Oryza sativa Japonica Group: one gene and its partner. The protein of the gene in region 2 binds, or shares a complex with, the protein of the main gene of each other region. Links are inferred from orthologs where the notes say so. Each region holds a gene or a part of one and is shown on either strand. Other genes may lie near its edges.

Region 1 (4,586 bases), on a different chromosome or scaffold from region 2:
AGCTAACAACATAATAATTGTCTAATATAAAATGCACAGGTACATCTTATGTCACAGTCAACCTAAACAAAGTATTGATCTTTTCCCAACATTGTACATCTCAGGGTACACCAAATATATTCATTTACGGAGTTAGTGATCTTGCTTAGCTGCAGATGGAACTCCCTATCTTGCAAACCTCATCGTCCACTCCGCAGCTATTTCATCATGCTTAGTTCTATCAGTCAAGTATAAATGTCCAATGCTCGGCACAAGTGGGCAGTCTGCACGGAAAAAACAATCATAATATGAAGTTATCAAGATGAAATGAAGCAAAAATTATGTGTATATTACATAGTTTAAACAGGACTGCATGTTTTATCATGGAAGATAGTGCAGAAACAGAACAATTGTGATCATACTGTAACTTGGAACTTACATGGATCTGGGTTTGTTATGATGGCTTTAATGGCAAGTAGCACCTTTGAAATAGTTAAAGCAGGACTCCATCCTTCCCTTAAAATGTCCATACTCAAGTTACCAGTGGAGTCAACATTGCAGTGATAAATCCTTGTCTTGAAAGTTACCTAGCACAGTGACAGAACAGTTATAACTTGTAACCACGAATTGAGGTCCCCTAATACCGAAATATCGGATAAAATTACAGCAGTGGATCTCAATTGTTTCATACTTCTATATAAACATTGAAATTGCTGTTCCTTCAATATTGAAATTTTAGCATGTTCAACTGGAAGAGTGTATTACCTTCCATATTATTAATTACTGAAACATCAAATCAAGCCACAATTGCCAGCCCATGTGTATTTCCTCTGTATTATGAGTGTGCTATCCACTCTACAAAAACTTGAGAAATTCACTTACTATTGCCAAATTATATGGAGTGTAGCATTAGCAGAATTAATATGATTGCCATGTTGGACTGTATTGATGTTTGCATGGTTCCATGTGCTGGTTAAGGTAAAAGGTAGACCACTGCAGGGCTGTGTGTTAGGTCAAATCAGTCCTAGCATTGCCCTAGGCTTCCAGCACTGCTATCTAGAGAATGGGGGAGAATTCCAGATGCTCCATCAAATACTGAAGAGCAGAAATGGAGGTTGGTTGTTCGGATCCTTCATATCCTACCTCCCATCAAGGAATTATAAGTTGATGGTAATAGCTGGGCAAAGACAGTAACAGTCTTACTGTCTTAGCAACCAACAAACCATGAAGCAGGTGATCATGTAGGGCTGTGTAGGCTACAGCCAGCAGGTGTATACTGATTAGTCAATGTCAACACTAAATGGACCAAAAATCTGCATTTAGAAGGCTCATTTTTTTACCAGACTACTATGCAAATAGTATATTGACATAGGATGAAGGTGATGCCCAAGCACATTAGGCTTCCAATGGACAAAACCTTTCTCTGTAAAATTTTAACACAGCACTATCAACCAAAACAGGGGATGTCTAGGAAAACAACATTTTAGAAACTCTGCGCAGTTATTTTCTTGAACACTAAGCATAAAACAGACTTCAGATAAGTTTTCTTCATAAATAATCAAGATCATATTGAAAAGAGGTAAATGGTGCTTACCTTAAAAAGAACGCAGGTCGCTTTAATTAATAACAAAATAAACTAGCTTTAACATAATCTCTTTTGTTATCTATGCCCTTCTAATCATCACACTGTTTGCTGAGTTAGCCCTTGAACAGAAGCATTCCTTGTCCCCAAAAAGATTCATGAGATATTCCATTTTAGGATGAATCTTAATCCTTGCAGACAACTCGACACATTTTCAAACCCCTTCCAGGCTAAAATGCATAGATCATACACTTATTTTGAAGAAACTAAAAGAAGTCCGGTGAAGGTAGACTTTTGAAACAAAATACCCTATGCATTTACTAAACATACCAATGTTCATCACTTTTGTAATACCCTGTTCACATAGTGAAGTAGAACTAGCTATACAACAATATTATCCCAACCAATTATCCATCCTATTTGAATTTCTATTCCACTTCTTCAAGATTTTAGACATGCGCATGTCTCTTAAAAACATTTCTTTGGATGCAAGCATTTCCCATGTTACCTTAACCACACTTCCACGCGGTAAATCAATAGTCGTCTATCAATAGTTACTGAAGGGAATGCCATATTTATTCTAGATATTTGTTCCAATAACAGCGATATGATCACTCATGAATCACAGCATTAGGTAGAATGCACACAGACAAGGAGAGAAAATGTCAAGTTACAACTTAAGCTTCTATATGATCTCGTAGAAAGCCAGACACCTCATAACCAACAGCCCATTTAAGCAAACAGAAAAAAAAAAAAGAAGCTAATTCTTAGTTCTTACCATGGGAGGTTTAAACGGATAGTCAATTGGGAATACAATATCGAGGAAAAATATCCCTCCTTCATACGGAGATCCTACAAGATGAGCACTGCATTAGATCAGCAAAGTGAAGGTGGTCATAAGACTAGTTCACTCTACACTCCACACCCTAATTCCAAACTTGAAAAAAAAAAAACCGCGATTTCAACTAGTGAAATTCGCAGAGCCGCAGTAAAATTCGCACGAGCTTTATCGGCTGCTGCTAGCAGGGGGGAGTAAGCGGAGAGGGGGAAGGGCGATGATACCCTGAGGTCCGATGATGGTGGAGAGCCAGTGGTAGAGGTTGTCGCCCTTAGGGCCGGCGGAGCAGTCGGAGGCGTTGAGGTCCATCAGCTCCTTCTGAATCCGCTTCCCCGACGACGACACCGACGTGCCGCCGCTGGAGCCCCAGGGGCGCACGCCGCTCCATCTTCCACCCCCACCTCCGCCGCCGGAGCCCCCTCCTCCTCCTCCTCCGCCCCCGCTGGTGCCGGCGCCGGCGCCGGCGGGGAAAGGGGAGCGAGAGGTCGGGAAGGAGGAGGAAGACGACGACATGGCCTCGACGGCTGGCTTACGACTTGGCCTTGGGGGTGAGGGGGAGCGGCGCCGCCGGCGGTGGTGGGGGGATGGAGAGCGACGCCGGAGTGGGGGGAGAGCGGCGGAGAGGGGAAAGGTTAGAGGGAGTGACGGGACGATGAGGGGAGGTGCGAATTTATTTATTTATTTTTCATAATTGTTGTGATGTTCAGTGTAAAATACTACTCCCTCCATTTCACAACATAAGTCATTCTAGCATTTCTCATATTCATATTGATGTCTGTTTCACAATATAAGTCATTCTAGCATTTCTCACATTCACATTGTGAAACGGAGGTGAAACGGAGGAAGTAATTGCATTTCAATATAAATTACTCTATCCATCTTAAAAACCAAACTAGAGGAGAATTTGCAACATATGTTCAGAAATTTTATGTGGAGTTAAATCGCCACCTACAGTGGTTTTTTTAGACGGGAGTACAAAATATGAAAACTAAAATTTGAGAGAAACTGATTTGAGACGTGCTTTTATTCTGCGTGACAGCCTGATAGCTCCACATATACTCTTATAAATCCATTTTTGCTGTTCCAGTATTGCCAGTAATAATGGGCCAAAAGCGACCAAGTACTCAAATTTTAAACTGACCACACATAAATCCAACCCTGAAAAACCATAAATAAATTTCGGTGCCATGTAACTGTAACATATGGACTGCTTTAGAACGTAGAAATTTTTATGTAGGACTTAATTCTTCATTGTACAAACCAGGCCAGACATTTTTGCATCTGCTACATGAGACCAAAAAAAAAACTTAACAAACATGTAGTACTCAACAAGAGTATAAATTTAGAAGAAAAAAAATATTAGTGAGTCTGAGAGAAAAACACTGTTACTCAACAAGAGTGACAGTTTCAGTACTGAAGCGATATGCAGGGAGCACAAAACACTTTTTGAGTCATACAAACATTTCAGAAAAGAAGGTTTCCACAATTCAATACTCCCAGCCTGGCATTCAAAATTGATGTATTTGACTCCTTTCTCTAGGTCAACGAATTTTGAGAAACACATGCCATCTAACCTCAATACATCTAAGACAAATATGGCCTCCTACACTCCTACTGACAAGATCCACAATAAATTTCGGGCATCTCATCCAAAACGCATCATTTTTTTACAGGGTTTTACATGAACACCATGATAGACAGCAATGTAATTAGGTGAGTCAACCAGCACGAGTGAATTTGTGTAGCAAAATTGTCTGGGCTTACGGGCCCAGACGCCGCACCACCGTTGCTGCCATTGGAGCCAGTGCTGCAAGAAGAACCAACACTGCATCAGGACGTAGAGCCAAAAAAAAAATGTAGAACCGTTAGCACAAAAATATCGAGAAAGGACTCACCTTCCTGCAAAAATGCATGAACCATGGCCTGCATATTTTGATCCAGGGAAATTGTATTAGGCTCATCAAACAGGGAAAATAAGTAATCACCCGGTCCAATCTAACAGTAAATATTCTTGATCTCTTTGAACACACTAAAAAAACTTCAGGATGCCTTCTATAAGAAAATGCATGAAACTTCAGGATGTGATCATGCATTTAACTAGTGGTAAACACATTTTATATTAGCATGATCAGATATCTAAAGTCTAAGGTTTCTTCAAATTTTCTCGCTTACCATTCCTATGTAATC
Region 2 (4,332 bases):
GACAAACTGTTGAATGACCATCATTTTGGAAAATGAACAAGACATCTCACTTTCAGCAACTGCTGATGCTTGCATTTGAATTATATTGAGGTATCCAAACTTCCAGAGCAATGTTCTATTCTATTTCAGCAAAATGATTTAGGCTTAATTCATCATGATGTCAAATGTCAAGTATATGCTCTGTCCCACCTATGAGAAAGCAACAACCTATCTGACAAAGTGACAGTTATAGTTTGTAGGTCTTCCAATTTATATGTACAAGATACAAATGAAGAATATTCATAAATGATTGTGGGATAAGTTCAGACCCACATGAAAGGTTCTGCAACGTGTTTTCAGTTTTGATTTTTTTTAAAGAGATCCTATGAGAAATTCTAGATGCGCTTCTTCATTCTATGATGGGTTGTCTATATACATTAGTTTTCCTTGATTACACATGAGCGCATGTACCACTAATATAGTTGCCATCGGCTCCATGTTCTTCCTATTTCTTTACAAAATATCCTATTGTTATAGCAAGTGTACTTACTTTTTGGATAGGAGTTCATGAAAATTGTTCTTTTGTATACAGCATCCATGATTTATATTTATGTCTTAGTTGTTCTTTATCTTGAGACAAGCAAGGTGACAGATCCTTCTTGCAAAACAAAACTCCTACTTTTGTTGAGAGGGGCAACCCATTGTCCTCAGCTCATGAAAAAAAATAATGAACGAAGCTATCAGTTGAAGAACCAAGCACACTAAGATGATAGAGGCTTATATGGTATATCTTGGATTGCATGACCACTTACCTGAGCAATAATTTCCTTCTCAATATGGAACGATAGCCATATTTCACTAACTACATGATCTGTTATTTTTCTACCACATATTAAGTTTTCACTAGGTTAATTATTACAATGCAGTTTAGTTCTTTGTGATACAAATGAGGCATTTTAGTTAAGTCGTATGGAAACACCATTTCTCCCTACTTCACAGCCATACATATTTTAGTTTTTTGAGTTAGTCATGCTTCCCTTACCAACTTCTCTATATATTTTGTGGGCATATTTACCTTCTATTGTAAAAACTGTCTAGACCAATTCTCATGGATTGCTCTTATTATTATCATTGTAGATGGTGATAGGGATCAGCAAGCGTGCAGTACATCTCAAGCACCTGCAAGCTGGTGGTTGGATCTTTACTGGCCATAGCTACTAATTCTTTTTTATGAAAAAAATTCCTCAATCAAATAAATCTCAAATATCAGATTATATCTGGTCAGTGTAACTAATGTGTTATCCTGACTCTGAAGTCAATTTTGAATAATCTTGAATTGGATCAATGCAAAGATATCTTCTATTCTTTACCCTTTGCATTATCGAGGATTGGTGAACATGTTAAGTTCAGATGTTACGGTGATATCTATCTTTTGGGGGAAGCAAGATAAATTTATACCATATTTTACCTTAATGATGCAATTTAGTTTTTTTATTTACAATTTGATCATATTACAGAGCATGCTTGGATGGCAGAGCAAAGAAAAGTACGAAGTATGGTGAAAGATGATTTTTGTTTTAAGTGCAAACAGTAATTGTTAGATCACACGCAGCGTAGCGCGTGCTTCTTTCTAGTTACTATTATTTGAACTATGAATGCCCATGGTTCCAGTGCAATCAACACCAATTTGATTAGACAGGTAATACATGACCAGTACCAACTATGATGTAAACTAAATATAGATCCAGCAATCTTGCCGTAGGGATCAGTAGGTACCTGACCATGTGAATGGAGAAATAGCTCATCATCTTCCTGGCAAAATGCACCAATTTTGCGTACTTCAACAAGGTTGCCTGAATCTCGTATCTGTAGGACATGAATTGTTTGATATCGAAGAGAGACAATGCATAGCAGGTCCTCATACAAGTAAGCTCCAATACTATGAGCCAGATTGATAAAATCATTGCGGAAAGCTTTCTCATCTAGTATTGCGCCATCGTCTAGCCTGAACAAGAGAAATATAGAAGTCGAGAACCATTCAAACGAAAGGAAAGGATGGTTATAATACATAGACATCATAACGGACAACTAAAAGTGCATTCCTAGCGAAACAAGATGATTGTACCTGACAAGATAGAAAGTAATTTTCTCAATTGATGGTACCCCATGAATAGCACCCTCAGTGGCACTTGAATCGTTGCTTTGTGCAGTTGATGTGGCAAATAAGCCAAACTGATGGCACTCCATGTAAAGGAAAAAGTCCTTGCAGATGTATTCATTGCTAGATGCAAGTGAAATTGAGTAGAGCTGCTTAAAGAAGCTGTCGAATTTCTTTGCTTTGGGTGGAAGATCATGAGAGTCGCATGGCTCATTGCATGAAAATGTTGGCCAGATGGGACGGTACACGATTAAATCTTGGTGGTTCCGGCTAAAAGCCACAAGATAGTTGCCATCATCAGTGAATTTACGAAATGAATAATCTGGGCAATCTATGTCACATATAGTGTAACTCGGAACCAAGTTCTCATAGAACTGTCTAACAGTGTTAACCTGTCAACAAGAGGGGGAAAAAAGAAGATGATGAAATCTGCTAGTATAATTGAATAGACAGTGCGCGATGCGAACTAGTAGTCGAGACGTGTGACGATGATAATAGTGAATTGACAATTGTTGAAGCGAGAAAAGGGAAATTCTATGTGGGTAGGTAGGTCAGGCATATACTCAATAAGAAAGGAAGGCAGCAAATAAGAAAGGAATACTAGTCAATATATAGTCCGTAGAAAGAGAAAGGAATGGGGGGCGGTGGGCGTACAGTAGCGCCGGGGCGTGGGGAGAGGAACTGGCGGTCGAAGACCCTGGAGGCGAGGTTGGCGCTGCGGAAGAAGGTCGCCATCACCGGGCCGCCCGTAGCCTAGCCGCCGCCGGCATCGCACGGGCGGAGGCCCTCCTGCTTGCTGCGGCGCGGGCGCGGCGGAGGAGAGAGGAATTTGGTTGGTTGGATGGTGTGGTGGTGTCTGCTCTCTCTTGTTGTTTGTGGCCACACTAGGGGTGGATATCTTGGCTCGGCTCGGCTCGCTCCAGCTCGTTAGTGTACCGAGCTGGCTCGGCTCGGAGCCAGCTCGTTCGGGGAGGCCGCGACCGACGAGGGATGGGCGGATGGCGAGGAGGAGGGGCCGAGGACGCGAGGTGCCACCGTGCGACCGGCTCGCTGCGGGCCTTGGTCGCCGGTGGTGGCAGGATGCGTCTCGCTCTCGCACTCTCGCTCGTGTTCGCCGGTTCGCGTGTGGGTTGTGGCCGCGGCGCCTGTGTTCCTTACTGTCTGCGTGCCTCTTCTCTGTGAATTAGGGATTCTAGGGTTTGTTTACTCAAGGAAATAGGCTATTGGGCCACTAATGGGCTTTTCTGGTTAGGTAGCCCGGCTCGGAGTGGACTCCTGGTCCTGGTGTTTCTCTGGCTCGTTGGCCTCGTGAGCAGCTTGCGAGCCAGCTCGAGCTAAACCCTTGGCTCAGCTCGTTAGCTTTTCTCAACGAGCCGACCACGAGCCGAGCGCACCCCTATTTGTGGTGCTCAATTTTTTGGGAGAACCAAAGCGAAGCAACTGCAACTGCGAGCACCACCGGGACATGCCTTGTGCATTCAAAGCACACCAACAAAAAAAACGATTCAGCCCAAAATAAAATATTTTATTACTATATACTATCTCCGTCCTAAAATATAACCATTTATAGATCCTGGCAATGGTCTCTGAGATACTATTTTGATCACTAATATTTATAAAAATAAGATATTTTAAATAAAAGAGTTGTATATTATGATAATTTGTTTACATGATTGACCTTTTTATTTTGCTATTAATGGCTAAAGTTAAAAATGTTTGACATGTTACTATGCTAAAAATGCTTATATTTTGGGATGGAGGGAGTAGTATTTTGTTGTTTGCCGTTTGAAAGCCATTTTAGTAAAATAAATTGCGATAAACAAAACTTCTAAAATTAAATTTCATTTTTTTTTAATTTTTTGCGAGTGTGGCTAACACAACAATAAGGCTGCATTCGTTCCAGCCGATTCCCAACTCTCCCCTCTCGTTTTCCGTACGTACACTTTCAAACTGCTAAATGGTGTGTGTTTTATAAAAATATTATATATGAAAGTTGCTTAAAAAATCATATTTGATTAATTTTTGAAAAAAAAATAGCTAATACTTAATTAATCACGTGCCAATTGCCTGTTCCGTTTCCGTGTGCACTCTTCGTGTTGGGAAGCAAAAATGAAGGAACCCAGCCTAAGCGACGTGAACAAGGCCCACAAACAAATTTTCTTTAGCAAATAGTAGGATTTTTGTCGAAATCGTAT

Evidence for each region.
Region 1: light-mediated development protein DET1 (region 2) and constitutive photomorphogenesis protein 10 share a complex: the UniProt entries of both Arabidopsis thaliana proteins name them as parts of the CDD complex. The link is inferred for Oryza sativa Japonica Group from reciprocal best matches to the Arabidopsis thaliana genes DET1 and FUS9.

The regions. Positions count from the first base shown.
Region 1 is NC_089041.1:23,577,308-23,581,893, reverse strand, and holds the start of constitutive photomorphogenesis protein 10, read right to left. Parts: upstream 3,034-4,586; 5' UTR 2,913-3,033; coding exon 2,624-2,912; intron 2,414-2,623; coding exon 2,340-2,413; intron 567-2,339; coding exon 419-566; intron 264-418; coding exon 166-263; 3' UTR 1-165. Other genes in the region: glucan endo-1,3-beta-glucosidase 4, read right to left, coding at 4,077-4,206, 4,295-4,322. UniProt on the Arabidopsis thaliana protein: Component of light signal transduction machinery. Involved in repression of photomorphogenesis in darkness by participating in the CDD complex, a complex probably required to regulate the activity of ubiquitin conjugating enzymes (E2s).
Region 2 is NC_089035.1:257,980-262,311, forward strand, and holds the start of light-mediated development protein DET1, read right to left. Parts: upstream 3,006-4,332; 5' UTR 2,873-3,005; coding exon 2,792-2,872; intron 2,530-2,791; coding exon 2,105-2,529; intron 1,985-2,104; coding exon 1,756-1,984; intron 1-1,755. UniProt on the Arabidopsis thaliana protein: Component of light signal transduction machinery. Involved in repression of photomorphogenesis in darkness by participating in the CDD complex, a complex probably required to regulate the activity of ubiquitin conjugating enzymes (E2s).